Linked DNA regions of Lepisosteus oculatus. The protein of the gene in region 3 interacts with the protein of the main gene of each other region in a biochemical or structural test. Links are inferred from orthologs where the notes say so. Each region holds a gene or a part of one and is shown on either strand. Other genes may lie near its edges.

Region 1 (6,980 bases), on a different chromosome or scaffold from region 3:
AGAGAACCAATAAACCATTAATGGTCATTTTAACTATAAACCATACATCTTTTAATTGTCATCTGTACTCATGATATAGTCATTAGCCCAAACTGTATAACCCAACATACATAACAACAACACCAGTCTCTGAAGCCCACTGGCACCAACCAACTTCAGGGCACAGGACACAACTAAAAAAAATTAATGAAAGTCAAACACAGAACAAGACAAATAACACTACCCTACCCACTGGGACACACACAAACACAACACATACTGGAATGCTGCACTACCCTAAACAGACAAGACACACTAGCTGAGTACATGACTACAGTAAGTAAATTAAATGCAGGTAATAACACTGTGGGATATTAACTCTTTTCTCGAGAACTAACTCACACCGGTTTGTGCACTCCTTACTCTGCACAACCTCCTCGCTTCTCTAGACCCAGCTATTAACCGTACTCTACTGCCCTCTAGTGGCACCAACAGTAAATCCAATCTTCTTCTTACCTTCCCCTTTAAGTCTGTTTTTTTTTTAAGTTGGCAAACATTTGGTTAGTTCAGGTGGGTAGCTGCGTCAGCATGCGTAGGCTGCAAAGGAACAAGTAATAGGTTTATTCCATGCTGAAAAAAAGAAGAAAGAGAACACAACGTTTCGGCCGTGGAGCCTTCTTCAGGTGTGAGCCTTCTTCACACCTGAAGAAGGCTCCACGGCCGAAACGTTGTGTTCTCTTTCTTCTTTTTTTCAGCATGGAATAAACCTATTACTTGTAAACATTTGGTTATACTCCTTTACACAACTACAGCTCAACTGAACTTTTAAACTTCCCAGAAAACAATGATTATATGTTTTTACAGTTCACAATCTTCAAAACTAACTTTGAAGTTTGTTAATTCTCCATGAGCGATGCAGCTTGTTGTCCACTCCTGAATTGTGGGGTTTCTCTGGGCAGGTTTTCTCCACTTGCTGTCCAGCTTCTATCACCTCCCTGTTTTCTTCCAGTGTTGCACCTGCATGGTGGTTTATGCTGCTATGGGCTCGTGAGAGAAAACACATTTCAGCTGTGAAGCCTTCTTTGAAGGCTTTTGTCTTTGAAGAAGGCTTCACAGCCGAAATGTTGTGTTTTCTCTCTTCTCTTTCCAGCATGGAATAAACCTATTACTTGTTCCTTTGCAGACTACGCATGCTGACGCAGCTACAGTACCCACCTGAACTGATGAAATTAGTTTAGAACTGCCTTCCACCCTCGTGGTGGGATAATTATTTGCGCCCCTCACAGAAAGCATCCGTCCTCACACCCAACTGAATTTGTCTAAATCTGTACAGTACAAAGCCACATTTTTGGGGTTGTTGTTTTCAAACTTTAAATACACAGTCTCTAAATAGGATAGGGTCTGTACCTGTCCTTGATCTGACTTGGCTGTCTTCCACCAGGCCAGTGTCTGCACTCTCAAAGAGCAACACTGGGCTCTGTGACGTCTCTGGAAGTGGAAGAAGACTAAAAGCATCAGCATTCCCCTCCTCCCCCCTGCCTTGTACACTGTGGAATATTCATAGACTTGTAGTGTCTCTGTCCATCTTTGGACTGGGTGACATTACTTGTGGCACACCTTTCACCTTGTTAAAATGTGATAGGAGAGGTTTGTGATCTGTTTAGATAGCAAACTTCCATCCATACAAATATTTATTAAAACCATGTATGCCGAACACCACGGCTAAACCCTTTTTGTCTCGTGAGAATAATTATTTTCAGAGAATGTCAAAATATGGGGCATACATCCAGTCTGCTTCATCCAGCAAGTTATGTGACAGTACAGTCCCCATTCCATGTGGAGATGCGTCACAAGAAAGTACACCTTTGCCACAAAAATAGTTTAGCACTTCACAGTACTCTTTGTTTTTAAGACTTATTTTAGTCCCTTAATAAATCTGTTACAGATTGTGAATCATGTAAGCAGGTTGTTTATGCATAGGTGATGCCCAGGTTGTGATGCTGTGCCAGACAGCATAGCCAGCTGTCCAAAGAGCTCAGGCTCAGTCACCACAGCCTGGACCTAGACACTGGACACAAGCAGACCTGGCTGTCCAGACAGGACAGACTCGGTGACCACAAAGACCACAAACTGGGTGACACAGAGAGACCATACTGCCAAGAGAGAATAAAAATGTGATTCTTATTGCATTGTGAGAAATACTTTGGGATTAGATAAACATTCTCTCTAAAATAACAAATCTAATCCCACAATTTCCACACCTGCTAGAATTAGAATGGCTCGTAAAGAGTAGGGGTGTAACCCCGGTGTCCTGGCCAAATTTCCCATTGGCCCTTACCAATCATGGCCTCCTAATAATCCCCATCTATGATTTGGCTACATTACTCTGCTCTCCTGCCCACTGATATCTGATGTGTGGTGAGCGTTCTGGCGCACTATGGCTGCCGTCACATCATCCAGGTAGATGCTGCACATTGGTGGTGGTGGAGGGGAGTCCCCATTACCTGTAAAGCGCTTTGAGTGGAGTGTCCAGAAAAGCGCTATATAAGTGTAAGCAATTAATATTATTATTATTATTATTATTATTATTATTATTATTATTATTATTATTATTACCTACAGGCTAAGGAGGGAGGAACTTAGCTGAGGTGCAGCCTAATACAGTATGTGATCTCCTGTCAGCCAGAGGAACACTGAGTGAGCCTGTCTCACAATAAGGTTTTATGTTTATATGTTTATGTAAATGTCCAATAATAAGTCTGTGAAGCAATTGTCCATAAATGTTATGTGTATTGCATCTGCATTGGCAGCACTGTAATTCATAGATCATTCCAATAAAGACTGAATTTGAAGGTGATTTTTTAAAAAACATTTTATTTGAACAACAAAAAAGATACAATATAAACAAGAGAACATTTAACATATCAATTACATCGTCAGGGGTACATATTACAATACAAATACACTTCATGAAAAAAGTTTAAACAGAGTAAATAAAGATAAATATTCTTGTTTTTACATTGTGAAATAGTCTGCAAATACGCCTTTACATCTATTTTGACTACATCAAGCACAGGACTCTTCCCAGACCATTTCACTTTATGTATATAGTAACGTGCAAGTATAATATTTAACTCAATTATGAAATATATTTCCATATTATTTTCAATGGGATTAAAGTTTAACATTACTTCTGTTTCTTTAAAAGTTATATCAACATTAGCCTGTTTTTGTGCAAATCAGTCCAGAAAGCTTTTGCAATAGGACCTAACCAAAATATATGTTGTATGGTTCCAGAGCTACTTTCACAAAAGACACAGTTATCATCTATAGTAATTTTTAATCTCTGCACAACATAACATCACTTTATTAGCCCTATACAATTTCTTGCATTAGGAAATCACCTTTTCACATACGCCAGCTTGCTCTCGGGGGCCCAATGGAGTTGGATTCCTCTGCCAGCCGCGGGATTTGAACCGACAACCGTCCAGCCACAGGTGCCGATCCGTAGCCACAGAACCACTGCTCCGCTCCAAAATGAATTACGATGCATTGGCCGGGAATCGAACCCGGGCCTCCCGCGTGGCAGGCGAGAATTCTACCACTGAACCACCAATGCGCTACGATACGATATGAACTTGACATCATGTTGTTTTCCCAAACAATCAATCAGTTTCCAGATAAAGGTATTCCAAAATACTTTAACTGACAGGATATTGTCAGCTTGCAATAGAAATCTTACAAATTTGTTATTACATCCATAACTTCCTTGTGGGATAATAATAACAATAATAATAATAATAATAATATAAGCTGTACAATCTTTCATAGTTTCTGATGAGATACTATTGCAATTCCTTGATTTGAAAGTGATTTCAGTTTGGAACTGAACGCTACAACTGAAAAAAAAAATGTTTGCAGCGCGTCTGCGTGAAATGAGCATGCGCGTTTCTCCAGGAGCGCTACAATGTGCGCAGGCGCAGTATCACTCCTCCAGCTCAGATTCCCGGGTTGGTTGATTTACATAGGGTGAAAAAAGCATTTATTTTTTACGTTGTGAATTAGGAAACGGGTTTGTTTTCTTTAGAATGTTATAATCTAACAGAATTATTTTTGTTGTGTTAATGTACTTTATGTGTGCGTTTTAAACATTTCTGACCTCCGCGGTCGTTGCCGCAGGCGCGGGCAGTGTAGGTTCCCATCTGAAGCGCCACAAGGTAAACATTTCGAAATCTTTGATCATTTTACCGCACTTCTCGGGGTCTCATGATGACTTTTCTGTATCAGAAGACAGGCCCCAATGTTCTTCCGGATCTCTTGGTTTCTCGGCATTGTCTCCTAAAGGTTATTAATATATAAAAATGTAGTTTTCCGGTGTTTGTGTCCCTGAATCACTTTCTTGTTAGTCCACCTATAGACAGAAAATAAAGGTCTGTGTATGAAAGGGCATATATTAATAAAATATTTACGCGTAGGGATATTAATTTCACTTATAAAACCATCGGACGTATCAGCGGACAACGGAATAAATAATTTGGGTTTAAATTGTTTCGGTAGTATTTTGTAATTTTTTAGATTTGTTAATGCAAGATCTGCAGCTTATTGCTTTCTAGGTTATATTGGGCTAAACGTAGTTTCGCGGGAAATGTTTACCTTATTTTTACCTTTTTTCTTCAGATCTACAGTCAGCTTTATTAGAGTTTATGAGACCGTATAACCGTATATAGTGTCTTTTTGTATATGGTCTCCGTACTTGTGCTCTGCTGTAGAAAGTTTTCAGAAACTTTTTCCTTTTAACCTTTTTCCTTACTGTGTTTTTCAGAGACCAAACAGGTGACACGGTTTTTAAATAGATTCCTGGTTTTACGGAGTTGTATCCGTCATTTGGTCAGGGACTTGGGATTGGGAGCTAAAATCCCAATAAAAAATAAAAAATGATACAGCAGAGGAGATATCACAATCTGTAGAAGAAAATAAGGATTTCTGTTACATGCTTTAAAGACAGGGATAGCTTTAAGTGACACTAAGAGATTCCTCTTGCAGCAGTCTCTGGACCTCACTCTTTTCCCCTTCCTCCAGTGGGATTCGGGAGAGGGGGGTGGGACAGGTAGAGATGCCCGAGGTGCCGAAGGAAGAGGAGCAGCTGTCCCACGCGGACTGTATCTGCTCCGTTTGCCTGGAGATCTTCCTGGAGCCGGTCACCCTACCCTGCGGCCACACCTTCTGCAAGACGTGTTTCCAGCAGACGGTTTACAAGGCCAGCATGTGCTGCCCGCTGTGCCGCAAGAGGGTGTCCACGTGGTGCCGTCTGCACAGCCGCAACAAGACGCTGGTGAACGCGGAGCTGTGGAGGAAAGTGCAGGCCGCCTTCCCCCTGCAGTGCCAGCGCAAGCTCAGCGGGCAGGACGCCGACGACAGCTGCAGTGAGTCTCGCCCCTTTGCCGCTCTTGCCCAGTCACCTGGGGACCTGGGGTGTTCTGGAGGAAAGAAGAGGGTTTAATAATAATAATAATAATAATTGCTTTCACTTATATAGCGCTTTTCTGGACACTCCACTCAAAGCGCTTTACAGGTAATGGGGACTCCCCTCCACCACCACCAATGTGCAGCATCCACCTGGATGATGCAAAGGCAGCCATAGTGCGCCAGAACGCTGCCCACACACCAGCAATCAGTGGGGAGGAGAGCAGAGTAATGAAGTCAATTCATAGAGGGGGATTATTAGGAGGCCATGATTGGTAAGGGCCAATGGGAAATTTGGCCAGGACGCCGGGGTTACACATCCGAAGGACGGTTTATCGCTGTCTTCAGTGATACAGGGTTGATGCCAAATAAAAATACCGTTGAATTGTTTAAGACCTTAAATTTGTACCCTGAAAAGAAGATTGAAGTTCACGATCCAGACCTCAGCTGTAACGAAAACCAGATCTGTGGTACAGGATCAGTGCTGGGTACCACCACTGTGTATAAACAGGGTTCCGAATGCAATGAAAATACCCTGTGTCCTTTTGGTACTACACTTCATAGCAGATCATCATATAATATTGAAATCTTTCATTTTGGTCTGGTATTGGTAAGGTACTGTTTTTTATGCCTTTGACAGCTCTGGTTCCCCTACGAACAATCAGCAAACCTGGTGAACTGCGGGAGGAATATGAGGCCCAGTTAAGTAAGGTAAATGCTCATCATTTACTGTTCTAAACAGAACCCTAGAAAATAATATAAAGATCTAAGCTTGCACACTAGATCTGCCGGTTAGATCTGAAAAGAAATGCAGTTGACACAAAACTGTTGAGTTGGTCATAGCAGACGGCGAAACATCGGAGGTGTGACGTTTTTGCTGAAATGGGACTTGATTGTATTGTGAATTACAAATTAACAAGTGGCGCATTTCCAACAGTGCATTCTTTAAATCCTTTGAGGAACCTCCTGAAACGTATTTTTATGCAGAAACCGTGTGGCAGACTAGTGCCGGAAATGACCCCATGTTCAGCATTTTTACATCCAAAATAAAAAGGGATTTGGTCAGCTTTTATGCATGCTTTGTACCAGTTTCCCTCTCTGATAATAGACTTGATTGTGTCACTGAGTGGATCTGTCTGTACTTCTGCCCATGGCCGTGTCCTCTCCTGCTCCCTTGCCTCCTCGCCTGCCCGCGCAGCTGGCGGAGGAGAAGAGGGCCCTGGAAGAGGCCGAGAGGCAGGCAAGCGAGGAGTACATCCGCAGGCTGCTGGCCGAGGAGGAGGAGCGGCAGGCAGAGGAGAGGAGGAGGGAGGAAGAGCAGCAGCTGGAGCACGACGAGATGCTGGCGCGCCTGCTGAGCCAGGAGCTGGTGAGTCCCAGGGAGCAGGGTGGGGACACAGTGAAAGTTTCCGGTTATCACATGTAGAATATCGATCAATCACTAATTTATTCTTCACGAGCACGGAAATCGCTTATAAAATAATCCGGGGCCAGGTATTTGTAGTTTTTTTCACGTATGGAAAATCTTTAGCATACTT
Region 2 (7,097 bases), on a different chromosome or scaffold from region 3:
TGGAATTGATATAACAAAATCTATAGATTTAAATGCATTTCTAGAGTAATGCAAGTCGACAAACATGTTTCATTGCAAAGTGTTATCTCCAGTATCGTCAAGAAGAGGATGATTGTTTGCTATCGTATAAATGGATATACCTATTTTCTGATTTCTCTCGCCGGCGATTTCTGCAACAAATCTCCATCATATTTCTCCAGCAAATAAATATGAAAATGAAAGGACTATTTATATCGCTATTTTCGGATATCAAAAGTCTTTTACTCAACCCCAGGACACACCTTTTATGATGTACCTTACCGATTACCCCTCAAATGTATAAATGTTTTGTACAGCAATGTGTCCATGCACAAACGAGCACATGACATACAACAGGCCTTTTTTACGTACACTTTAAACTATTTCACCAGCACATTTCACCTTTGTACAAATGTAACCACATAGTTTTCCCCCTTTTGCTTCCCTTTTAGTTTTCGTCCTAGGGTTATGTGACAACTTCTGAAATAAGAACATTTCGTCTTCATAAATGGCAATCATTTTACTTCCACAATCGTTTCTAAAACCCTACGAATGTTTCAAAATGATCATTGGTATCTGTTGGATACCATTAAGATTAGGCAATTTAACTCTTAGAATAAGGTGCTGCAGCTGAGACAGTAAACAACATCAGAGCTGGTCAAGAGAATTACACGGCACTGACTACAGCTCCCAGAGTTCTTTGCAGATGTAACCCGAGCTCTAATCGGATCAATCCTGTCAAGATCTATTAGAATCGGATTGGGTATTTATGTCTATATTTGCCTAAAACTGTGACTCTCCTTTAGTTCTACGGGATAGCTGTTTTTCGTCTACAAGACTAAAAATCTCATGCCGTGATAAGTAGAAAAATCTGAATGTTAGGTAGTGGTGGCAAGTCATTAGCTCCAGCCTTGTGACTGCTCGTAGTAGTTTCCCTAAGTAATTTAAAACGTTTCGGTACGTTGCATTTAGATATTTTTTTCCTTTTTTGTTTGTGGTGCAGCATGTCATACTCCGGGGTTGTAAAACTGAGGACTGCGGAAGCCAAACCGAAATTACCGACGGTTTGTTGCGCTTCCAAAAGAAACAGAGCCACTGGCTGTACCGGAGGTAACCATAGCAACGCCCGTGACCCCAGCGGAGGTGCTAGTTATGAGACCCCAAATGGGAGAAAAACAAAACCGAACGCAGTAACATCAAAGCCTAAAGCTATAACGTGCAGTGGGAACGATCAGCGTGCTCAGAAAAAACACGACAAGTCTCCAAGTGCCACACAAAGGTAAATAATTGTTTATCCTACTCTTCTTTTAACCCCCAAGTCGCGTCGTTAGTTTGTAAAAGAGGTCCTTCTCCGTAATAAAAACAAACAGGTATTCCTAACAGAGATCTGAACTGTGTGTACCGATCAGTTTAATGTGTCGTTTAAAAATAGTATCATTGATATAGTTCTGAGCATAATTATCCAATTGATCCCTATGTGTTTCAATGCTAGTAGGTGTGACAGAAAATATTCCCCTCTAGATTCTGCTTACCACCAAAGATCTAATTCTAAGAGATGATTTTTGTTTGGTTTGTTGCAGTTACGGGGCATTTACAATGATCCCTCCCAATCCAAAGAAGAGGGATGAACTACAGAAAAGTACATTTTATTTCTTTTTCTTGGAGCAACATGCAGAAAAAAACAAGAACACTGTCAGTTATTTGATAAATAGGAGACAAACATCCACACATTCAACATAAAAAGAAAAAAATATTTGTTAATATCTTATTCTTATTCTTTTTTTTTAAAAAAAATGTCTAAACATCTGATACTGGGGATCCTGAACAGACTAAATGACTTAGACATTTTTCTCACCATTTCTTTATGATGGCTGACAAAGGAGCTGAAGTTGAACTGGCAGCGCTGGAAAATTTCAAACTTAATAAGAAAGTGCGCCATGTGTCCTTTGTCCCAAGTGCTGTAGGTGAGTACTCTCTGAATCCGGTCACAAGCAGCTGAAATGTATGTCTTCATTGTATTTAATATTATTATTATTATTATTAATAATAATAATAATAATAATAATAATAATAATAATAATAATCTCCCTTCTGGACCAATTTCCAAACCTGGAGTGACCAGAGGAGCTTTTCTGTTGGAGGTGATGTCCTTTGTATGAGAAGCTAAATCAGGGTCCAGATTTGTTGGTCATTTAAGATTCCATTTCTCTTTTCAAAGGGGTAGAGTGTTAATCCCAGTGACTGGATTGTGCAATCTGAGTTTCCTGAAGATGCCCCTTTTAATTCAGCTTCAGAGGAGGATTAAGTAGGCCCCTTCTCTGTGTAAATCAGTCACACGTGCTATATAAGGCAATTTGGGTGAGACAGTGTTAACATATTCAGTACATCTCATATTAGTAATAACAATAGCTATATAATCTGCAGTGTTGCAATTGACCACTACAGGGCGTAGTAGAGCACATTATTCTCAGAACCCGACCGAGGTCTTGTCTTAAACTAAAGAGTTTCTTGTAAAAGAAAATAAGATCCTCTAGTAACATCATATTTGTTATTTTTACTGTATTTAGCTTGGATGAAAATAGGGTTTCCTTCTTCCATGTTTAAGGGTCCTCAGTGGTCCTAAAGAAAGTTTTATGGCACAGTAGTCGTGCTTTGTTTTGCTTTGATTCTAATTGTTCTAATGAAGAAATATAATTATTTCCATATTGTGTAAATATTTTGCAGGGGGAACTTTAACATTGGAAGAAGTAAGAAGAAAACAGGAGGAGCAGATGAAAACATGCAAAAAGCTTCACCATCTGAGACCTGAGACTAGAAATTAGAAAATACATCGTGCACTGTTTTGGCATAATCTTTGATTCGGTATCATTGCAAATTAGGGGGATCACCCAGAAACGATCGGTTTTTCACTGTTATATTGAGGCATAGGAGAAAACGTATTAGTTACCACGAGTAAATGTAGTGATGAATGAAAATCAAGAAGAAACATGTTTTATTAATATATAACCATTGCTAACCTGGGGATTATCTTGAATACACCGTATATTGATGTTTGTATTATCACATACATTACATATTTTAACACATATAAACATTCATCATCTTTAAAATTGGTTCACGGTGTACATGTTTTCCATTTTTTTCTTCCGTAATTCCAGTTTGCTGAACTTTATCGGTTAATAAAAAATATTATCACTACTTTTAACATATTACTGTACCTACTGTATGTTTGAAGTTACTCGTGTTTTTAAGAATTTTGTGAAACGGCAGCTCTGGTGCTGTAGCCACCACATGCGAAAACCATTTAGTTGAACACGTTATTGTCATTTAATGCTAATTAAATAATCTTTTTTTGTCCCGCAATGGATAATAAACCGTGGATTGTGGTTAAACAAGTTGTACCGGATGGGATATATTTCTGAAAATCAGATATACGAAATAAAAATGCTGCTGAAACTGAAGCTTAAACGAAAATGGGGAGTATTTAAAAATCACAGTGGTTATTTTCTCTGGTTTGTAGTTATGACATTTACCGAACGTTTCTGCAAACAGATCGGGATGTTATTGACAAGAGAATGGCGGTGCCATCCATAATACACGAGCAACAAATAGCCATATATATTAATGAGGACCCCGACAGAAAGCGGTTGCGGTGAAAATGTTCGACCTCATATGATCCATAAAAATGTGATCCCTGAAATAACAAATGAGCTTCCTTATGTAAAAAACTACATTTCCCATGAGCGACGGCTGGTATTTGTCTCTGCGACATGGCAAGGAAATGTTTTGGTTCTGGGTCTTTCATCCTTGAAAATGATCAAGCAATAAAACTGTCTGTTGTGTAATTTGTTGCAGCACGAAAAAATAAGTTAGTTAAACCATTCTAATGCAGTATAAAATAAACCGATTTTTATATAGCCGCGGAGTGTTCAGTTTTTATTTCTTTTGTTATTGTTTGATCAACTAAGCTCCACCTACGTTTGGCATGGTATAATCGGAATGCCGGCTAGCACGTCCATTTTTCTTAGTAGGGGTGAACCGTAAAAAGCGTAACTATATATTTGCATTCTGTGTACTCCTGAAATAGGAGATGCCTGAACTATGAAATATTTTCGTTTGTAGTTGATCATTTTTGTGTTCATTTTATCCCTTCATTCGCGTGAAGGGTGTCCCCCCTCCCCCCCCCCCTACATGCCGAGGTTGGCACGGTCGGTTGCGAGGCCTCTGCAGTAGGGAGTGTTTTTAGAGGAAGACCACGAAAGTTGATACTCGTTAACGGGGAAATGTTTTAAGTTTGATGTCATTTTACTACAACTTTGCACGCGAAGACCGAGGAGAGGCATTGAAATCGATTTCGAGACGTGGTTTGTTCAGTGAAAGCGGGGGTCCAGGTACCGGAGCTTATGATGCCTACGTTGCGGGACAGTACTATGTCCCACCCAGGAGAGAATCCTAACCAAGTGCGGGTGAAAGCCTATTATAAGGGGTGAGTGGAAATCAGTATATTGGCTGGATCGGTCCGGATTAGGGTGGCTGTTTTGAAATTTGTACTGAAAAGAAACGAGGAGTGTTTTACTTGAGGAATGGTTTTAGCCACACGGTGTGCGACCTAGCAGGTGAAATCTTCTTGGATCGGATAACTACCATTCTTGTTTGTAACCTATGTTTGGAGGTGACGGACGTCACCGGAGACCTAACTTGATAGGGAGGGCATTCATGTTTTAAAGATATGGCAGATCAGAAACCTTTTTTTAGTTTTCTCCCACAGACCAAACTTGGTAGAGTTCTGGTTTAAGGAATGCGATCCCAGGGCTACGATCGTGAACTCTTTTCAGAGCTTTATTGTTTAAATTCGTTGGGTATGGTATCCTTCATTCGCCATTAATAATATTAAAGTCAAGTCGCAACAAGCCTCGTTTTTACACCTACGATGTTCTTAACTATGCTGTGTGATTAACCGATGAGTACACATCGAGGAATGGTCACAATGGTACCGATGCGCTGTTCTTTTCATTCAGAATTTGAAGCCGTTTCGTGTAAGGAAAACAATTGAAATCAGGGCATTTTCAGGACACGATTTTTCATCTTAGCCACTGGCTTTGGACGGGACTCGTGTTTTAAGGCTAACAGAATGCCACCTACTCAATAATGCGTAATGTAGGTGTTGGTGTCGCATGTTGATGACCACTGACGGAGCTGCCGTAGAGTGAAGCTGCGCGGAGCCCGAGACCCGCACGGACAGGTTGTGCGGCTGCGGTAGTAGCAGTAACCTTTTACGCCTTGGCACACCTTGTTTCTCTTGCAGCTTAAAAAAAAAAACATCTTAAGTATCAAGGGAGATCTTTGCACACTAGCTCGGTGAACTGTGTCTCAAGTGAGAGCCGGGGATGTCTAGCGCCGTAGTAAAGACGTGTGGATGGAGTTGTCTGTTTTTGCTTTTTGTTTAGTGAGATTTGTGCGGAGAGGTGGCAGCCCTGGCACAGTGGAGTCCTGTAGCAATTCCTGTTTGTAAACTGAGGTTATTCTAATGAAGGCAGTAAGAGAAAGGATTAATTGCATTTGTATATATTGCTTTTCACCCCAGAGGTGCCCAGAGCACTTTATATATAGCAGAGAATACACTTCCATCATTGAAGTGCAATGACGTCTGATTATTTTCAAGCGATTAGGACCGAAAAATAGAGTTTTCGAGCATGTAGTTATAGAATGTGAAGAATTTTGTTGATGTCATACCGTATGAAGAGGTTTGTTCCGTTTCAGGTGTCATCCTCCTGAGCCACAGGTATTCTGTTACTCTCACAGAAAACACAGTCTGAATAATTGCTCTTTGCCATTTTTGATTTTTTGTTTAGATTTCTGTCTTTGACTCATCTAATGAGATACTGTAACCTGTTAAGATCTATCTGTGCTTCTAAACGGTTTGCTAATTTGAGGTTTGCGTAAGTCAGTTGAGTTGTAAGATGGAAAGCTTTATGTGGAAGTTGTACTTTACCTTACATTTTGGAAGGCGCTAACAATGGTGTGCTGAATCATGAAAAACCTGTCAGATGAGTTTCTTCTGACCTTTCGCAATCCCAATCACTGTCACTGCATGTGTGCTGTTGTACATTTCTGACATTTCAGAAGTGTTTCTTTTCAAATAAAGAATGCAGAGTATTTCTGAAATATTTACAGGACCATATCTGCTTATGAAATGCTAACAGTAAAAAAAGAAGCCCCTTTGTATACATGTCTGCATGAATTTCTGAATTCATAAAAATTGCCAAAAAATGTCTTGTTCTTGTGCATAAACAGAACATTTTGAAATAAACTGATGCTTGGTGAAAGCACACTGTAGGACAGCTCTGTATTCACCTGAGGTCATGAACGTCTGCCTCGGGCCTTTGGGTTTTATCTCAGTCGCTGACCTTGATATTGTCCAGATAGGGAGTGGAGAAAAAGCACATGCCTGCCAAGATAAACAGCACAGAACAAACCGCACTGAAGTGAAGCTTCCAATTGTGCATTTCTGAAAGGAGTAGACTCGCAGTAGCTGACTGACACTTGATTCAAGTATTCTTTTTAATAAAACATCGTATTGTACTGTAGGTGTTGCGTAGTCATATACTGACTTATTATCGTCCTACTCCCCACCTCGCAGTTCTCGTTTGTCTGACCCCACTCTGCTGTCTGTCCTCATACTGGTCTGCGTACAGGGGGTAACAGGGCTTTCTCTTGCAATGGCCCAAAGCTAATTTTTACTTGTCTTAATTCTGTTATCTTCTCCCCTTTTTTTCTTACTGTTAAGCACTTTGAGAAGATGCATTTATAGGAGCTATACCAAATAAAAAATGTTATTATTTTTATTTGATTATTATTGGATAATATCGCACAACATTAATGCATAGCCATGATTTACGGTTATTCACAAACATGTAAACCGCGTTTACGAAAAGGATTTTATTGCCTCTGACATTCCGATCTTTCAGACCTCAGCGGTGGCACTGTTTTGACCCCATGACTGCTGCAGCTTAAATGAAGTTGATTTCTTTTAAAAAACGTATTTAGTTGGGTTATAGAATAACTCTCAACTATACTCT
Region 3 (7,207 bases):
ATCCAGCGTGCTCATAGAGCACACACGGTTAAGCACGACTACAGTATTTGGGACCAAGAAGAACCTCCATCACCTGTGTATCTGCATGTTCTCGGTACTTCCAGGTGGCGCTTTACCCAATCAGAGTGTCGATTCTCACTCTTCACCCAATCGCGGCCCGAGCTGTTCGGGGGTTTAGCCAATCACGGGTCTGAGAGCTGTTCAAGGAAGCAGCGCCAGGTGGATCGGCTTGTTTACTGTCAATGAGAATCTATTTTTAAAATGCTTTACTTATTTGCAAAGTAACTACATCGGCTTGGTTTTTAACGCCTTTATTGATTCACAATGTCCCGTGCTCTTCGAAATAAATACATTTGTATTTGCAATATAACTGTCTCCGCTGCTTTCTGTAATGAATACATCGTATTTGTACAATTTGATCGTGTATTTAAGGTAGGGGAAACACCTCCTGCTTTGTACTTAAAAATGAATAGAGATGTAAAGCCTATGATCATTATATTATTATGCTCGTGCTTCAAATTTTGTTTTTTATTGTTAAATTATATCGATCTTGAAACTAATACCTAAAAATGTGAATATGGGCTCTCGTGTTGTACCAGCGGTAATATGGAAACTGGGGTCTCTTCACCAATGCATGGAGTACACAAGCAATACATTTTCGAGAACATGGTTAAAAATTAAAAGAAAACACCTAACCCAATGAACTAACTCCTCCCTAAATGTAAGACAGTTTATTCGTGTAAAGGCTGCAAAGTCTGGGGTCAACTGATCAAAAGATCACAGCTGAAAGATCTAGTCGTGACTTTGCTGTTTTGTACGTCACGGAGTGACGTCACAGCCAGGAAAAGAAAGCGTGAAATGAGCCATACAGGAGATAGCTGTGTGAATCTGTGGGTTTGCAATAGACCAAAGCAGAGAGTCGGTGATGGGTAATGGATAGGTTTATGTCTAGAAATGGAAGAGTGATGGAAGATATGTTAACTGTATATTTGAGGGACTGGTGGAAGTTGGTGAAGTGATGCAGGAACTGCACTAGCTGGTCATTAGAGCATGAATTATTATTGTTGTTGCTGTTGTTGTTGTTAACAATGCATTTAATTTACATAACACACTACATTACAGCGAACTTCAATATGCTTCACATAAAAGACAAAACTAAAAAGAGAAGTCAATAAACATACCAATAACTAAGGTGGAAAAAGAAAAATGAGTCTGCAGTACTGAGGTTTTAAGGTCTCTTTTAAAAGTAAGTTGCTAGCAGTCAATTAAAACCAGAACCGCCCAGTATTTGTACAGCCTCTTTCCTAGGGCTGCCTTTTTGCTTAACCTGAATTCCTAGCTCTATGTGCACTGTTGCTGTTTATTAGCGCTTCTTGTCTGATATACAGTATGTAGAATAATAATAATAATAATAATAATAATAATAATAATAATAATAATAATAATAATTGCTTACACTTATATAGCGCAGGAAAATTCAGTATCTGGCACAGGATTCAAGCTAACTTCTAACCCCATCCTATTAAAGAGCAGAAACTGCTAAAACAGTTCAATAAACTTGATTAAGAAAGAGCTCAGAAAGAAGCAGACACAGGGATAGTTCTCTCTGTTCCAGGGCTGAAAACAATGTGCTCCTGTGTCACTCAGTCTGTGTCTTATATTGTACCTGTATTTTGTAGTCCTCTATTGTAATTTTACCTTTATTACATCACTATATTGTACTTCTGAAGGTATAGATGAAATTTTGAATCTTCTTTGTACAAATTGGAATTCTTTTTTGTAAATTGCTTTGGGTAAATACGACAGCTAAATTACTGTGATTATCAATAATGGATTTTACTACGTCAATGACATACACTCATGTAAGGAACCTTGATTCTTTTATTTAAATCCGAAAGGATGACAACAAATAAGCTGTATTTAAATGCCATCATATTCTAATACTTTTATGTTGTAATGCTGTATATTAGCGTCTAGACATTGTTTCATTTGACAACAGTACCTCTGCCTTGAATTTACACTGCGTTGCTTTATAGGAGTAAAGAGGAGACAATGACAAGTCGTTTGGCATGAACTTCTGGAACTTTCGTGATCTTTTCTTTAGTGATTCATAGGAGGTCCTGGTGGAAACGCGATACAAGAGAATAGCAATAGAATCATATGATTCGGATGAGTCATAGTCAGGTGACGTTACTCCTTCAGGAGGGGGAAGAGAGGGGGGGGCGAAGGGGGGTATTGCGACATACAATAATTCATAGCAACTTTCACTCTCTTTCGTCATTTTCAGGTAAAGGGGCAAATCAAGGCCTAGGCTCTCATGGTGATGCAGCATTTTATAGTATAGCTTTGTTAACCGATTTATAAGCTTATCAGCATCACATGCTTTTATGCTACCTGATGCAACCTCTTGTTTGTTTCTCTACACAGGACTTTATTATTCTCAATTTAAGGAAGATCCATAAGCAAATAAAAAAGAAAACTAAACCCAACTGCAGGTTGGAAATTATAAACCAGAACTGGCTTCCCGAAGCACAATTCATCAGGTTTTATGGGTCAATCTTAAATCCTCAAATTCTGAACCAGTAAGTTGGATTAAGTTAATTTTCACTACTGTAGCAGGTGAGGTGTTCAGCCGTTATCACCCATTATCAGGCAGATGCCTTTTTCTATAAGGGGCAGAATCTTTGTGTTGCCTATCCCAGGTGCAAGGTGAGACTGTACTGCACGAACCAGTTATCCTAGCCAACAGGCCCTTAGAAGGTAGAAATGGAGAACCTGAAGAACAACAACAGAAAAGGAGCATATATACTCCATAGAGGAGATGCCCCTGTCTGGAATCCAACCTAAGACCCAAAGCAGTAAGAAAAGTGGTCCTAACCACCATGCCACCACAATGTAATTTCATTTTTTGAAATAGAAAACACCAACATTTTGTAGCTCTCAAGGACCACAGTCAGTCATTTCTGACTCGGCATCACCAATTAATTTGCTGCTCATTCGCCGTAACTGTTGCTTGAAAAGCTGCACAGAACAGTTCCATGCGGTGAATGAGCTAATACAGAACCTGACTGACGCAACGTGTTAAACTGATCTGACCGTAAACGTGTTGCACGTCTTCAAAAACCTACGGGGTTAATTACTAGGGCCAGGGTTGTCCACCACCTGGTTACAAACTCAGGACCTGATGGCAGGTTTCTGTGCGGCTTCTTCTCTCTCGCCCTCCAGTACTTGAGTTTGAAACCCGCGGTGAGACAAAGTTGTCGATTCTGCCAGGCCTTGATAAGGCTCCTGCATAGTCTAGGCAAACAGCCGATACTCATAGAAGAGTACATACACACAGCCACGGCTGTTAAAAAGGCTGTTCAATATGTGTTGAACAAAAATGTTCCAAAACACAAGTTTGTGCCAATTTCCAGTGACTCATCTTCAACATGAGAGGGTGGCAGGTTCTGTACCTCGCCAACGCGCAGGAAAGACATTGAGGTGGATCTCTTACTTCATGCTGACTTGCAGATTGCCATCTTGCCTGATAAACAGAGGTTATTAGATAATGTGAAGACGGTCCCCCTAGTCTCTCTCATAGTGAAAATGACTGGTTATGATTTACTTTAAGTCACATTTCTTAAGATAACGAGGTACCTTCAAGTGAAGTTGAACAGGCTTTCTAAAACATTTATGTAGGTGGAAGGAAAATAGGTTTCGTCAGGGATGCCCGCTTTATACTGACTTCTGTACAAACCAGTGTTGTTTCTAATACTGAAATTGATACAATTCTAAAAAAGTATTTCCATTTATAAATTAAAAACATTACTGGCTCTGAATTTTGCTCCCTGAAATTAATATTTCCAGTCTTTTCTGTGTTCCCGCGAAAATCTTGAGTTTAGTTTTTAGAACCACTAGATGATACATAACTAATGTAATTGATAATTCACTCATGTCTTGCTTTTAACTCGTATTCTAACATGTATTTTCATGTATTGCATGTACCTCAGTAGTAGGATCATTTCTTTCTCGTATTACAGTTCCTTTTTTTTATACTGAATATTTTCTGTTTTACAGAAGCTGATATTTCCATTCTGTTTTCCCGCGCTGGGATGTCACTGTAAAAAAGTGCTTTGTCATTCTTCGACCTTCAACAACCCACTTTGAATAGGGCTCCATTCTGTTTACTTTGCTAAAGACTGGCTTGTTAGTAAACGCGAAGAAAAAAAGTGCGTTTTTTTACCAGACAGCTGGATTTCCCCCTATTCTCATAGCAACACCCTTTTAATTTTTTAGGATGCACAACCCCTGAAGAAATGCTGATTGGCTGGGGTACAGCATAAATACTAGCAAGGAGGCGGAACTACAACACAGCAGACTAGAAAGCTGCAGAAGTACAGTAGCTGGTTTATTCAAGTGCGCAATAAGGTTCACGGGTTCTCGTCGGAGCTGGTCAGGTGAAGATCGAAAAGAAGAGGTAACCATGTCGATGACAGTGAAAGCCTATCTCCTTGGGAAGGAGGATATCCACAAGGAGATCCGCAGGTTCGCCGTCGATCAAGAAGTGTCCAGCAGCTTTGAGTACTTAACTCGAAAAGTGGCCGAGGTTTTCCAAAGCCTCAGGAATGCCACTTTCCAGATGTACTATAAAGGTAAGAAACTTTGGGGGAAAAAAACGAGAACTTCAACCTGTTTGATGAGATGTCACGATTAAACTTGCTACTAAGTGCAGCTGTGAATTTGTATAGGTCAGCTGGGAGAAGCAAGCTACTTTGTTACATCACGAGGGCCTTTTGTTTATAATGTAGCCTGATGGCAAAGTGAGTTATGCAAATTGTACATTGTGGGTTGTGCTGTGCAGTCATTGTGACGCACTCACTTTTAGAACTCGCAGAAAATGGCAAGGATATTTATTACAAGATTGTCGGATGTTTCAGTTTGTTGCGTTGACCTTTATCAGTGTTTTATGGACTTATTGTTGGATTGTGTAACAAAATCGCGTTGCGCGTGACATTGGAAGCGGCTTTAACGTCGTTATTTTTAATACGTCAGGTGAAGAGAGAAGGGTTATTAATTACTGTAACCTGAATAATGTGGTACAGATATCTGTGATGGCAAGGGCTATCGCTTAATGAGCTACAGAGAAACAAAATTAACACTTAAAACGGATGTTAATCCTTGGCTACTAAACATTGAATATCGTTCTGTGACTTCATGACGCCGAGATATAGGTTCATTGTATTCTGCAGTCTACTGTACACGCAGTAAGATGGGACTGTCAGTCCTATCCAATTCCCACTGCTTATCAACGTTTTCCTTTGGTAGACTTCCGTGTATTGTCGGTTTATTGTTGTTTTTTTTCCTAATATCTGGAAGAATGGAATTGAGAACGTTCACAAAATGACTTCATCTAAATTCTATCGCTTCCCTCCCGTTAAAGTTTTACAAAACAAAGGTTTTCTGTTTGATATGTTAAGGAATACCCCTTAGCAGCAGTTGATACGAGCCGTATTAAATAACACTCCCATGGTTCGTCAAGACCAATGTCTGATGTGTCAGTTTGGTGATCATGTTCTTAACGCCCTGTTGCCCAATGAAAACAATGCATTATTTAATCCAAATGCGTTACTGAAACTCCTAAGTACAGCAGTAAGGCTCGTGGGAATGTTACCGAGACGTCGAAAACACCTCATTAGTAGAGACTGGAATACTTCAGTTGAGCTTGATTGCAGTTAAGGTAAAACTTTCCATAGCATCTCCTTTTTGTTCCCTGAGTAAATGACTAATTGTCTGTAAATTAAACCCTGCTAACTGACACTTTTTTTCCCCAACAGATGAGGATGGCGACTTGATTGCTTTCTCCTCTGATGATGAACTGATGATGGGACTTGCTTGTATAAAGGACGATACTTTTCGAGTCTTCATTAAAGGCAAGTTGTTTACCCTGGGTGAATCATTTACAGTTCTTAGGGGACCGACTAAATGTGTTTAAACAATGACTTCAAAGTTTGCTCTGTCACAAAACTAAGCCAGTTTTTTTTTTTTTAATATTGAGCAAAATCCATGAACACGAATACTTTTACCACTTGGAGGTAATGTGAAATTTAACGATTGGGGAAGTAGGCAATGTTTATTGAATTAATTTAAAGGTGGTGGCTCCACTCCTAGCTTTTAACTGTTAAATAGACATGTATCCTGTGCCACACTTTTTCTGTGAAACATGCTGCAGTATCCATTTTTAGGGACAGATAATCAGAAATCTCCTGTGCTCATGACCGTGGGTTTTTTTCCCCCCTTCACCCCACAGAGAAGAAGGAGTGCAAGCGGGACTTTCACCCCCATGGATTCCAGGGTCCTGATCGCCCCTTCCCTTTCCCCTTCTCCTTCCAATCCCCTCCCCCTCCCCCCTCCCATAACGCCGTGCACCCCAACGTGACCTGCGACGGCTGCGAGGGCCCAGTGGCTGGGACGCGCTTCAAGTGCACCGTCTGCCCCGACTACGACCTGTGCTCATCCTGCCAGGCCAAGGGGCAGCACAAGGAGCACCCCATGCTTCCCATCTGGGCTCCCCTGCAAAACATGTTTGAAGTAAGACGCCTGGCTGAGCCATGATCGGAACCGAACACTTCTTGGAAACCTTGTTTGTTCTAGATCAACATTATGACGGCTGTTCCTTTACAAAAACATTATCCCTGTTTTTAGACAATGACTATTCAGTCCAGATGACTAGCACAGCTGCATATCCTCTTCTGGGTTTCAAATAGTTCCATTACTTGTTTTAGCAAAATTCAAGGTTTAATTAAGTTTTGTGCTATGATATAACTGCTTTATATGCATTATATGTGCATGTTTCCCCCTTGGTGTGACAGAAGTTGTTTTTTACAGTTCTAAACTATGCCGAACCTTCCTGAAATGTCACTTTTCTACTCTGGTTCTAACTGGATCTGCCTGTATGGCTAAACTGCAAAATTGTCTGAACTGCTTTTTCTTCATAACCTCATATTGCTGTTTTGTATTTGTGAACTGTTTGGAGGGTTTCGTAAAACCTCAATATAATTTGTGTAAAAAAAGAAAATGTACACTCTTAGGCCTGGTTCGGTAGTTTAATCTTTTTTTTTTCCCCCTAGTGGTACCCGCGCGGGAAGTGGATGCGCAAGATGAGACATGGCTTCCCCCACTGCATGTGGGCTGGAGCCCAGAACAGGCCCCAAGCCAGCCAGGCTGG
Region 4 (7,901 bases), on a different chromosome or scaffold from region 3:
GTTTGTGACTTTTTGCAGTTCTACCTTATCTTGCAATAGGTGGGTCTACATATATTGAAAATGTATATATCGCATTGTATGATTTATCCACTTGAGGTGGTGCAGGAAGCAGAGCTAACCTATGACTTGCCAGAATAAGAAAAGGGGTTCCTTGACCCACATAGCTATCAGAAGGAAGCTTTCATGGGTGTCAAAAACGTGGCTAGAGAAAGTCAGAGGTCAGGTTAGAGAAACTGATAAAATACCAGATATACAATGCCTTGCAAAAGTATTCACCCCCCTTGGACTTTTTCACATTTTATTGTGTTACAGCATGGAAACCTGATGTGTTTAACTGAGATTTTTTACCACTGATCAACACAGTACTCTATAATGTCAAAGAGAAAAAAAATCCAGACATTTTACTAAACTAAAAATAAAAAACAGAAAATAACTGAAAGCATAAGTATTCTCCCCCTTGCTTTGAAGCAGCTAAATTACCCATTAAGTAACCAACTCTCTTCTCCAAGTCACATAATTACTTGACTGGAGTCCACCTGTGTGCATTTGAGGTGTTTCACATGATTGCAGAATAAATACACCTGTGTCTGGCAGCTTCCTTTGAAATGCACTATGGGGGGGAAACACTACATCATGAAGACCAAGGAATGTTCCAAGCAGATCTGAGACGAGGTTCTTGAAAATGACCATTTAGGATATAAGGATATAAGAAAATTTTCAAGGCACTGAATATACCTTGAAGCACAGGGAAGTCCATCATTACAAAGGTGAGAAAATATGGAACAACTGTGAATCTGCCCAGAACTGTCCGCCCTCCAAAACTGAGTGTCCGGGCAAGAAGAGCCATAGTAAGGGAGGCCACCAAGAAGCCTACGGCAACTCTAAAGGAGTTACAGTCCTCCATGACAGAAATGGGAGAAACTATGTATTAGACAACAATAGCACGCACGCTTCATATATCTCGGTTGTACGGAAGGGTTGCAAGAAGAAAGCCTTTGTTGGGAAAAAAAACTCATATTACATCTCGGCTGGAGTTTGCCCAATGGCATGTGAGAGACTCAACAATTTGGAGGAAGATTCTATGGTCTGATGAAACCAAAATTTAACTTTGTCTGGTGCGAACCTAACACAGCATATCACACTGAGAATACCACCATTTGGGGATGCTTCTCTGCGGCAGGGACCGGAAAACTCATAAAGATAGAAGGAAAAATGGATGGAGCTAAGTACAGAACCATCCTGGAAGAAAAGATGCTGTAATCTGCAAGAGCACTGGGACTTGGAAGACGATTCATCTTCCAAAAGGACAATGATCCAAAACATACAGCAAAAGCCACACTGGAGTGCCTTAAAACTAAAAAGGTTAATGTCCTGGAGTGGCAAAGTCAACGCCCAGAACTCAATCCAATTGAGAATCTATGGAATGACTTAAAAATTGGTAATCAAAAATGGTCACCTTCCAACTTGATGGAGCTTCAGCAGTTTTGCCAAGGAGAATGGGTAAGAATTCCAGTGTCAAGATGTGCAATGCTGATAGAGACTTACCGAAAGAAACTCACAGCTGTAATTGCTGCCAAAGGTGGTCCTACCAAGTATTAACTCTGGGATTGGGGAGGAATACTTATGCATTAAATTATTTTCTGTTTTTTATTTTTCATTAATGTAGTAAAATGTCTAGATTTTTTTTTCACCTTGACATTACGAAAAAGAAATTCCTAATCCAAGAAATTGTATAAGGCTAATAAAGAGATCTTATCTTATAGAGTACCTTGTGTTGATGACTGGCGAAAATTTTGTTAAGTACATCATGGTTAAAATAAAATGTGAAAAGGTAACCCCAAGGGGGGGTTAAACAACTTTCGCAAGGCACTGTAGGCCTCATACCTTTACGTACCTTAAGAAAGACAGGTTTAACAGGAATTTAGAAAGGTATATAAACCGCAGAAAATGTCTATTACGTCACTATTGTACTGCGGTTGATCCAAAATGTTGTAGCATTTTCAGGTTTGGAGTTAGTTTGCTGTGTAGTAATCACTACTAGTGATGCTTTGGGAGGCACGAGTCAGTTAAGGTGTTCTGCATCAGCTGCAATAATAAAACTGAAAGTAAGATTACTAGGTAAAATTTCTGAACTTCAAACTATTCACGTTTTTTAGTGGACCTGGTGATTACATACCTTTATATTATTGGTTAGAACTCAACTGTTGTACCCTTGAGCAAGTTACTTTATTCAAATTTCTCCAGTTAATGCCCTGCTCTATAAATAAGCTACTATATTACAAAATTGTGAAATAAAATTTATTCACTTGACTTATCTGGGAAAACAATAAAAAAGAAACCTACAGTATGTGTCCCCTCTTTAAGTAAAATACTAAACTAAAGGGATTTAATCTCGCACCTCTGTGAAATGAAGCATTTTAAATGTTCTTCTCAGAAACATGTTTACAAAAGGTGAAATGATACCACAGTAAACCTAGCTTTAGCCTGTCAGATATCTATCTGGAGTTAGAACTTTTGCAGTGTACAGTATGTGCAATGCAAACTTAAAAAATAGTATTTATATTTACCCAAAAACTGTGACCCAAGTTTCATCTAAATGGTCATCTGAAGAAAGTGCATCCCCCTGGGTATAGAAAGGATCAACTTGGGCTGGAGAGATGGCTGCCCTTCTCTGTTGGCCGAGAGGACTAAATACACTTGATGCTGTTAAAATTCAAACAAGTAGCTGTTTTAGTTCTGTTAGAACCGTGCGTTGCACTTTTCCTTTTCAGATATTACAAGACATATTAGTTGCCGATGGCAAGATAAAAATAGCTATACGTTTTTTGCCTTTACCACCAAATGAAATCTCAAAATGTCTCAAGAGGATGAAATTAAAATTCAACCCACGGTTTAAGCGGACTAGCGATTAGGTCAATTTATTTTGTACCCCCATCATATCATATTTGCAACATAATTTTAATAAACCAAAAGAGCTAGAGGCACAGATTTTTTGTTTAGATTAAAAAAAAAACACTCAGCCCATTAAGCCTTAAAATCAAAAGCACTGTTCCCCAATTTAAAGCACTGCATATGAGATGTTCATGTTATTAACTGATGTTAAAAAAAGATGTCTTGCAAAAGTACTTCAACCATATAATTCACCTGTTCCTGGGGAGGCAGCAGCCAAGGCAGATAATGGGGTCTGTAGCACTGAAAAAGAGGGCTGTGGACAGGAATGGCGATATTTTATTACAGGAAGATGATCAGATAATGTGATAAGAAAATAAATCAACAGTTCTAACTGCTTACTTGCTTCTGCAAACTCAGTGATGATGCCCCAATCCCTGGACATGTTAACTCATCATATATACTTCTAACTGGGGGTGCCCCACTCTTGTCCTTGGGTGTGGGGACAACTGGCTGAGGAGGTGAACCACCTGAGGGGAAAAAAAATTGAGAGAGGCATCTTGCACATGTGCAACACTGAGTTTTACTCTGTGACTATATTTAAATCTCTATTCCTCATCGTGCCGTAACCTTATCTTGTGGTCATTTCTTCTAGTATACCACAGTGTCTTCACATCTTGACTAGCACAGCCAAATACTTACACGGTAGTGAGAAAGGTTGCTCTTACTCCTTCAGAAATGGACATTTCCCCAAAATAAATGGTCTCCATAAATCCATTCTAAATTTTACAGCCCTTTCTCGGCACTTTAAATGTGATTTTACATGCACGTACCTCGATATGTTTTTTGGAACGGAGAACCCCCCCTAAACAATTGGTCAGTGGATTATTTGTTGCGTCCGTCACAGCCAGCAGACCTTCTGCACGAAGCAGACTGGTATAAATTCACACCTGTTACGCCATGTCCCGTAAAATCGTGGATTATGAAGATGAATACATAAACAGCTCACCCGTCATAAGAGGAGACCTCATTTCCATCCCACTGCCGACAGAGCTGCTGAAGGTGCGAGGCTGGGGAGTCACCGGCGCTGGCAGGTCGCCCATCAGAAACCCGGGCAGGAACTGTGCGCCCGAACTGGGCTTTGGGGAGGTTGGCGACCCCAGGGTCATTGGTTCTGTACCTGACAAAGTTAAGATAAATCCGTATATTTGCTTTTATCCGACTCACCTAGAGCTGCCCAAAACACCGTTTCATGGAGACTCTTCCTTGGAATAAAACAAGCCAATACCTCTAAACTTTTTTTGGAGTAGCTTTGAAGGCAATTTATTAACACAGTATAATAGTTCATATATATATATATTGATGACAATAAACAAACATACAAATCTCGAATTAGTATTAGCAAAAATTCATATTGATTATAAAATGTATTAATACCCCTCACGCTATATCCCCTATGTTCAAAAAAAGCGATAAGTCTAGTGTTACTGCAGTTATAACTGTCAACTGGGACACGCCATAAATAGAACAATGTCTCAAAAACTATAAAAATAAAATCAGAATTAGATATTTTATCAATATTGCAGTCTTAACATGACTATTAATTAATTTAGGCCTGAATGAGATTAAGGGAATAACATGGAGCGGTAGATTTTAAAATATATGCATTCCTAACCTCCAAAAGTACAACACTAGAAAAAGACTGTACCCACCTTGAAATTCCATTACAGGCTACCCACAAAACAGTATATAAGGACAGCTGAAAAAGTAAAGCAAGCTGATTTTTCCAATCAAAATGTGCCTAATTTTAGGTTGAAATAGATTCAAATTTTCAAATAATGGCGGAAATCGTGCGCTTTCCAGCAATACCGAGGCATTCTGGGGGTGACGTCATATAAAAGCTGCGGGCAGACTCCTGTTTCATGTGAAGTCGGAAAGGAGTGGGATTTAAAGGGCACGTGTAAAAATTACAACATTATAGTGATTTCACATTTTTATGTATTTTTCGTTTGCATTAAACACATAAAAGATTCCGCTTAGATGCATTACCCTACTATGTATTTAACTTGAACTAACTGAACAAGTATGTATTTAACTTTAACTAATTATTCTAAGCAGAAAATTAAGTCATATTTACGAAAAGAAAATTCCTTATTCCAGAATCGCTGTATAATACATAACCTAAAACTAGCAGAACCACGATTAAAAAGACGCGTTCCTTTCTCTGGTTTTTGAGGTAGTTTCCCATTGGTTAGTGTAACAGGGTCTGTGGTTAACGTGGCACTCACACAACGTTTTAACGTCATCACGGTGGTACACTAAAGTTTCTCTTAGTGTCTGCAAATATACCGGTACCGAAATAACAGGATCTTTACCCGGATAGGCGAGGAGAAGTAATGTTTGCCTTATTATAATTGCCATGTGCTTTCCTTTGTAAGCTGCAGTCTGTATAAGCTTAGATGTTTATGTTATCAGAAAAAAACATTCATTGAAATTTTGGAAACGCTTTAGACTGACATTGGTGCGACGAAACAGGAGTCGGTAAGTTGTCTGTCTACCCATCCTTATATCTAAAGTGATGCACTTTTGTTAGCATATTATCACATAAGGTTAAAAGTGATGCAGATTTAAGAATAGGTATAAGTACTGTATAACCCCAGATTCAGAGCAAGTTTTAATTAAAACGAATAATAAATTTTGTACATGATCTAGCTAATCCTAATAATAACAGCATCAAGATTTTAATAGTTGCATATTTTAATGCTATCTGTTACTAGAAGATAAACACGTTTAATTGAACTGCTTTCATTCCTTGTTCATGTGAATTATAAACAACTGCAACTAGAAATTCCAGTTTGTGAACACAAAACAATTGATTTCTTTCATGTATGTAATTACCTGCTATACACATATTACTGTACATTTAAACCTGAGTTCAGGAGCAATCCTGGTATGATTTTTAGCTAGAATGTATGCCTCCCCATGGGTAAACCATTACAGTTTCCTGGATCTTACAAAGATAACCATCATACCTCATTATCTTCACCCAAGGTTACTTTTCGTTCATAAACCTTGTTACTGTAATAGATGGATTGAAAAAAAATGAACATTCCTGCTTTCATCACACACTGTAGATTATTTTCTGTATAGAAACATTGTGGTGCAGTTACGATGTGTCTTTTTCTAAGTGGAAAAGTGAAGTTTGTTTATTTGTACTTCAGTTTACTTTAGTACTTTGCAGTCTACAAAGACCATTAGTTCCTCATTGACCTCCTCTTCTGCAATAATTTATTCTTCATCAAATCTAAATTGAGGGCATTCATTTTTGGGTACAAATTGTGATTTAATTATTTCATTTAGAATTAACTCACTATGTGTTGTAAAAGGTATGAAATGCTGCCTATTTGGAAAATGTCCGGCACCTCCTGGCTATAAATCATACAATTCTCCCTAAAAATTGAGTTTTTTGTTTAGATTGTTTTCACACCATGGACTGCATCCAAAAACATTAACTTTTAAAATGCTATGCAGTACTGCCAAAATTGATCTAAAGTATAGATAAATGTCCTTTGACAGGATTTAATATCAAAAGGTGTGATGTAGCTCTGGATTTATAGAATCACTATAATGTACAATCATTGTTTGCATAATGTTTTCTCATTTTTTTCCAACATAGATATCTTTAAAACTGTTTGAAGCAAGCAGTTACTGGCACATAGCTGAGGATGAAGATATCGAATTCAGCTTGAGAGCAACTGTGTCTTGAAGGTTGATTGAGTCAGCGGGGAGCAGAACACAATGGAATCAGCACTACTTGCAGAACAAACCTGTTGTGTTTACAGAAGACAGTCAAGCAGAACATTTTTGTACTTTTTTGTTATAATATGTTTGGCTGCTGTTATTTCCTGCAATGATGATTATTATGAGCTACTTGGAGTGTCCAGAGAAGCAAGTAATAGAGAAATTCGACAGGCCTTTAAGAAGCTTGCACTAACAATGCATCCTGATAAAAACCCTGTAAGTAAATATCTCAAAGCATATACAAATTGTACATTGCATGAAATCATAGATATGAAATGTTATTTGTAACAAGGTGTCAAAACTTTGACTGTCCATGTTTTATTTAGAATGATCAGGATGCTCATGACAAGTTCCTGAAGATAAACAGAGCCTATGAAGTTTTGAAAGATGAAGATTTGCGGAAGAAATATGATAAATATGGAGAGAAAGGACTACAAGATAATCAGGAGGGTGGAAGATATGAAAGCTGGAACTATTACCGATATGACTTTGGTATGTCGGCCTAACAACGTCTCACTTTATGTGTGCTGTGTGTTGCTCGCCATCTACTGTATGCTGCGTACAGAAAAGTAAGGCTAATCCAGGATAAAATTGCCCAAGGTATTTATTTCCATAGAACTGAAATATTTTCCCCAGAGGAAAGTGATTTACCTTATTTAATTCAGGATTGAGTGCTTTCTGTGCACTGGGTTTAAATTTTGGTAGATCAGATCTCCTACTCATACGTAAATTTTAAGTGTAGAATCTTAAACAATTGGAAGGCTGAGCTAAAAGTATGTATCCATCTTACATGTGTTTGATAATTTCAAGGTAGAGATTTCTGAAAAGCCTAATTGAAAGTGGAGAATTAAAATATTAATTAATAATGATGTGTCATTTTAGTTTAGAGCTGACTATTGGAATGTTTTTTGATATATTGTTTTCACTTTTACAGGTATATATGATGATGATCTTGAGATCATCACATTGGACAGAGGGGACTTTGGTAAGCATTTTTTATCAGATACTATCAAATAATATAATAGTAAATCTGGCTGTCTGCCTAACATTTGCTGTTAACAGGATGATTTACAGGGGTATTTATTTTGTTATTCATTAGATGCGGCTGTGAACTCTGGAGAGCTGTGGTTTGTGAATTTCTACTTTCCACGCTGCTCACATTGTCATGACTTGGCACCAACGGTGAGAAAACTATTCTTGCACTACGTTTT

Evidence for each region.
Region 1: the proteins of sqstm1 (region 3) and rnf168 form a complex in vitro, tested with the Homo sapiens proteins (2 studies listed by BioGRID). The link is inferred for Lepisosteus oculatus from reciprocal best matches to the Homo sapiens genes SQSTM1 and RNF168.
Region 2: the proteins of sqstm1 (region 3) and prkci form a complex in vitro, tested with the Homo sapiens proteins (4 studies listed by BioGRID, with this or other methods). The link is inferred for Lepisosteus oculatus from reciprocal best matches to the Homo sapiens genes SQSTM1 and PRKCI.
Region 4: the proteins of sqstm1 (region 3) and dnajc10 interact in a test that uses a peptide from one of them, tested with the Homo sapiens proteins (2 studies listed by BioGRID). The link is inferred for Lepisosteus oculatus from reciprocal best matches to the Homo sapiens genes SQSTM1 and DNAJC10.

Annotation. Positions count from the first base shown.
Region 1 is NC_090708.1:21,393,885-21,400,864, reverse strand, and holds the start of rnf168 (E3 ubiquitin-protein ligase rnf168), read left to right. Parts: upstream 1-3,961; 5' UTR 3,962-4,323; intron 4,324-4,801; exon of another isoform or gene 4,802-5,058; 5' UTR 5,059-5,092; coding exon 5,093-5,402; intron 5,403-6,082; coding exon 6,083-6,153; intron 6,154-6,640; coding exon 6,641-6,811; intron 6,812-6,980. UniProt on the Homo sapiens protein: E3 ubiquitin-protein ligase required for accumulation of repair proteins to sites of DNA damage. Acts with UBE2N/UBC13 to amplify the RNF8-dependent histone ubiquitination.
Region 2 is NC_090708.1:13,870,941-13,878,037, reverse strand, and holds the start of prkci (protein kinase C iota type), read left to right. Parts: upstream 1-4,083; 5' UTR 4,084-4,421; coding exon 4,422-4,504; intron 4,505-7,097.
Region 3 is NC_090706.1:33,993,599-34,000,805, forward strand, and holds the start of sqstm1 (sequestosome-1), read left to right. Parts: upstream 1-4,189; 5' UTR 4,190-4,465; coding exon 4,466-4,634; intron 4,635-5,816; coding exon 5,817-5,912; intron 5,913-6,289; coding exon 6,290-6,570; intron 6,571-7,109; coding exon 7,110-7,207. UniProt on the Homo sapiens protein: Molecular adapter required for selective macroautophagy (aggrephagy) by acting as a bridge between polyubiquitinated proteins and autophagosomes.
Region 4 is NC_090707.1:18,365,651-18,373,551, forward strand, and holds the start of dnajc10 (dnaJ homolog subfamily C member 10), read left to right. Parts: upstream 1-4,881; 5' UTR 4,882-5,430; intron 5,431-6,565; 5' UTR 6,566-6,687; coding exon 6,688-6,906; intron 6,907-7,016; coding exon 7,017-7,182; intron 7,183-7,624; coding exon 7,625-7,675; intron 7,676-7,789; coding exon 7,790-7,872; intron 7,873-7,901. Other genes in the region: nucleoporin NUP35, read right to left, coding at 2,568-2,703, 3,145-3,205, 3,292-3,419, 3,899-4,069, 4,602-4,614. UniProt on the Homo sapiens protein: Endoplasmic reticulum disulfide reductase involved both in the correct folding of proteins and degradation of misfolded proteins.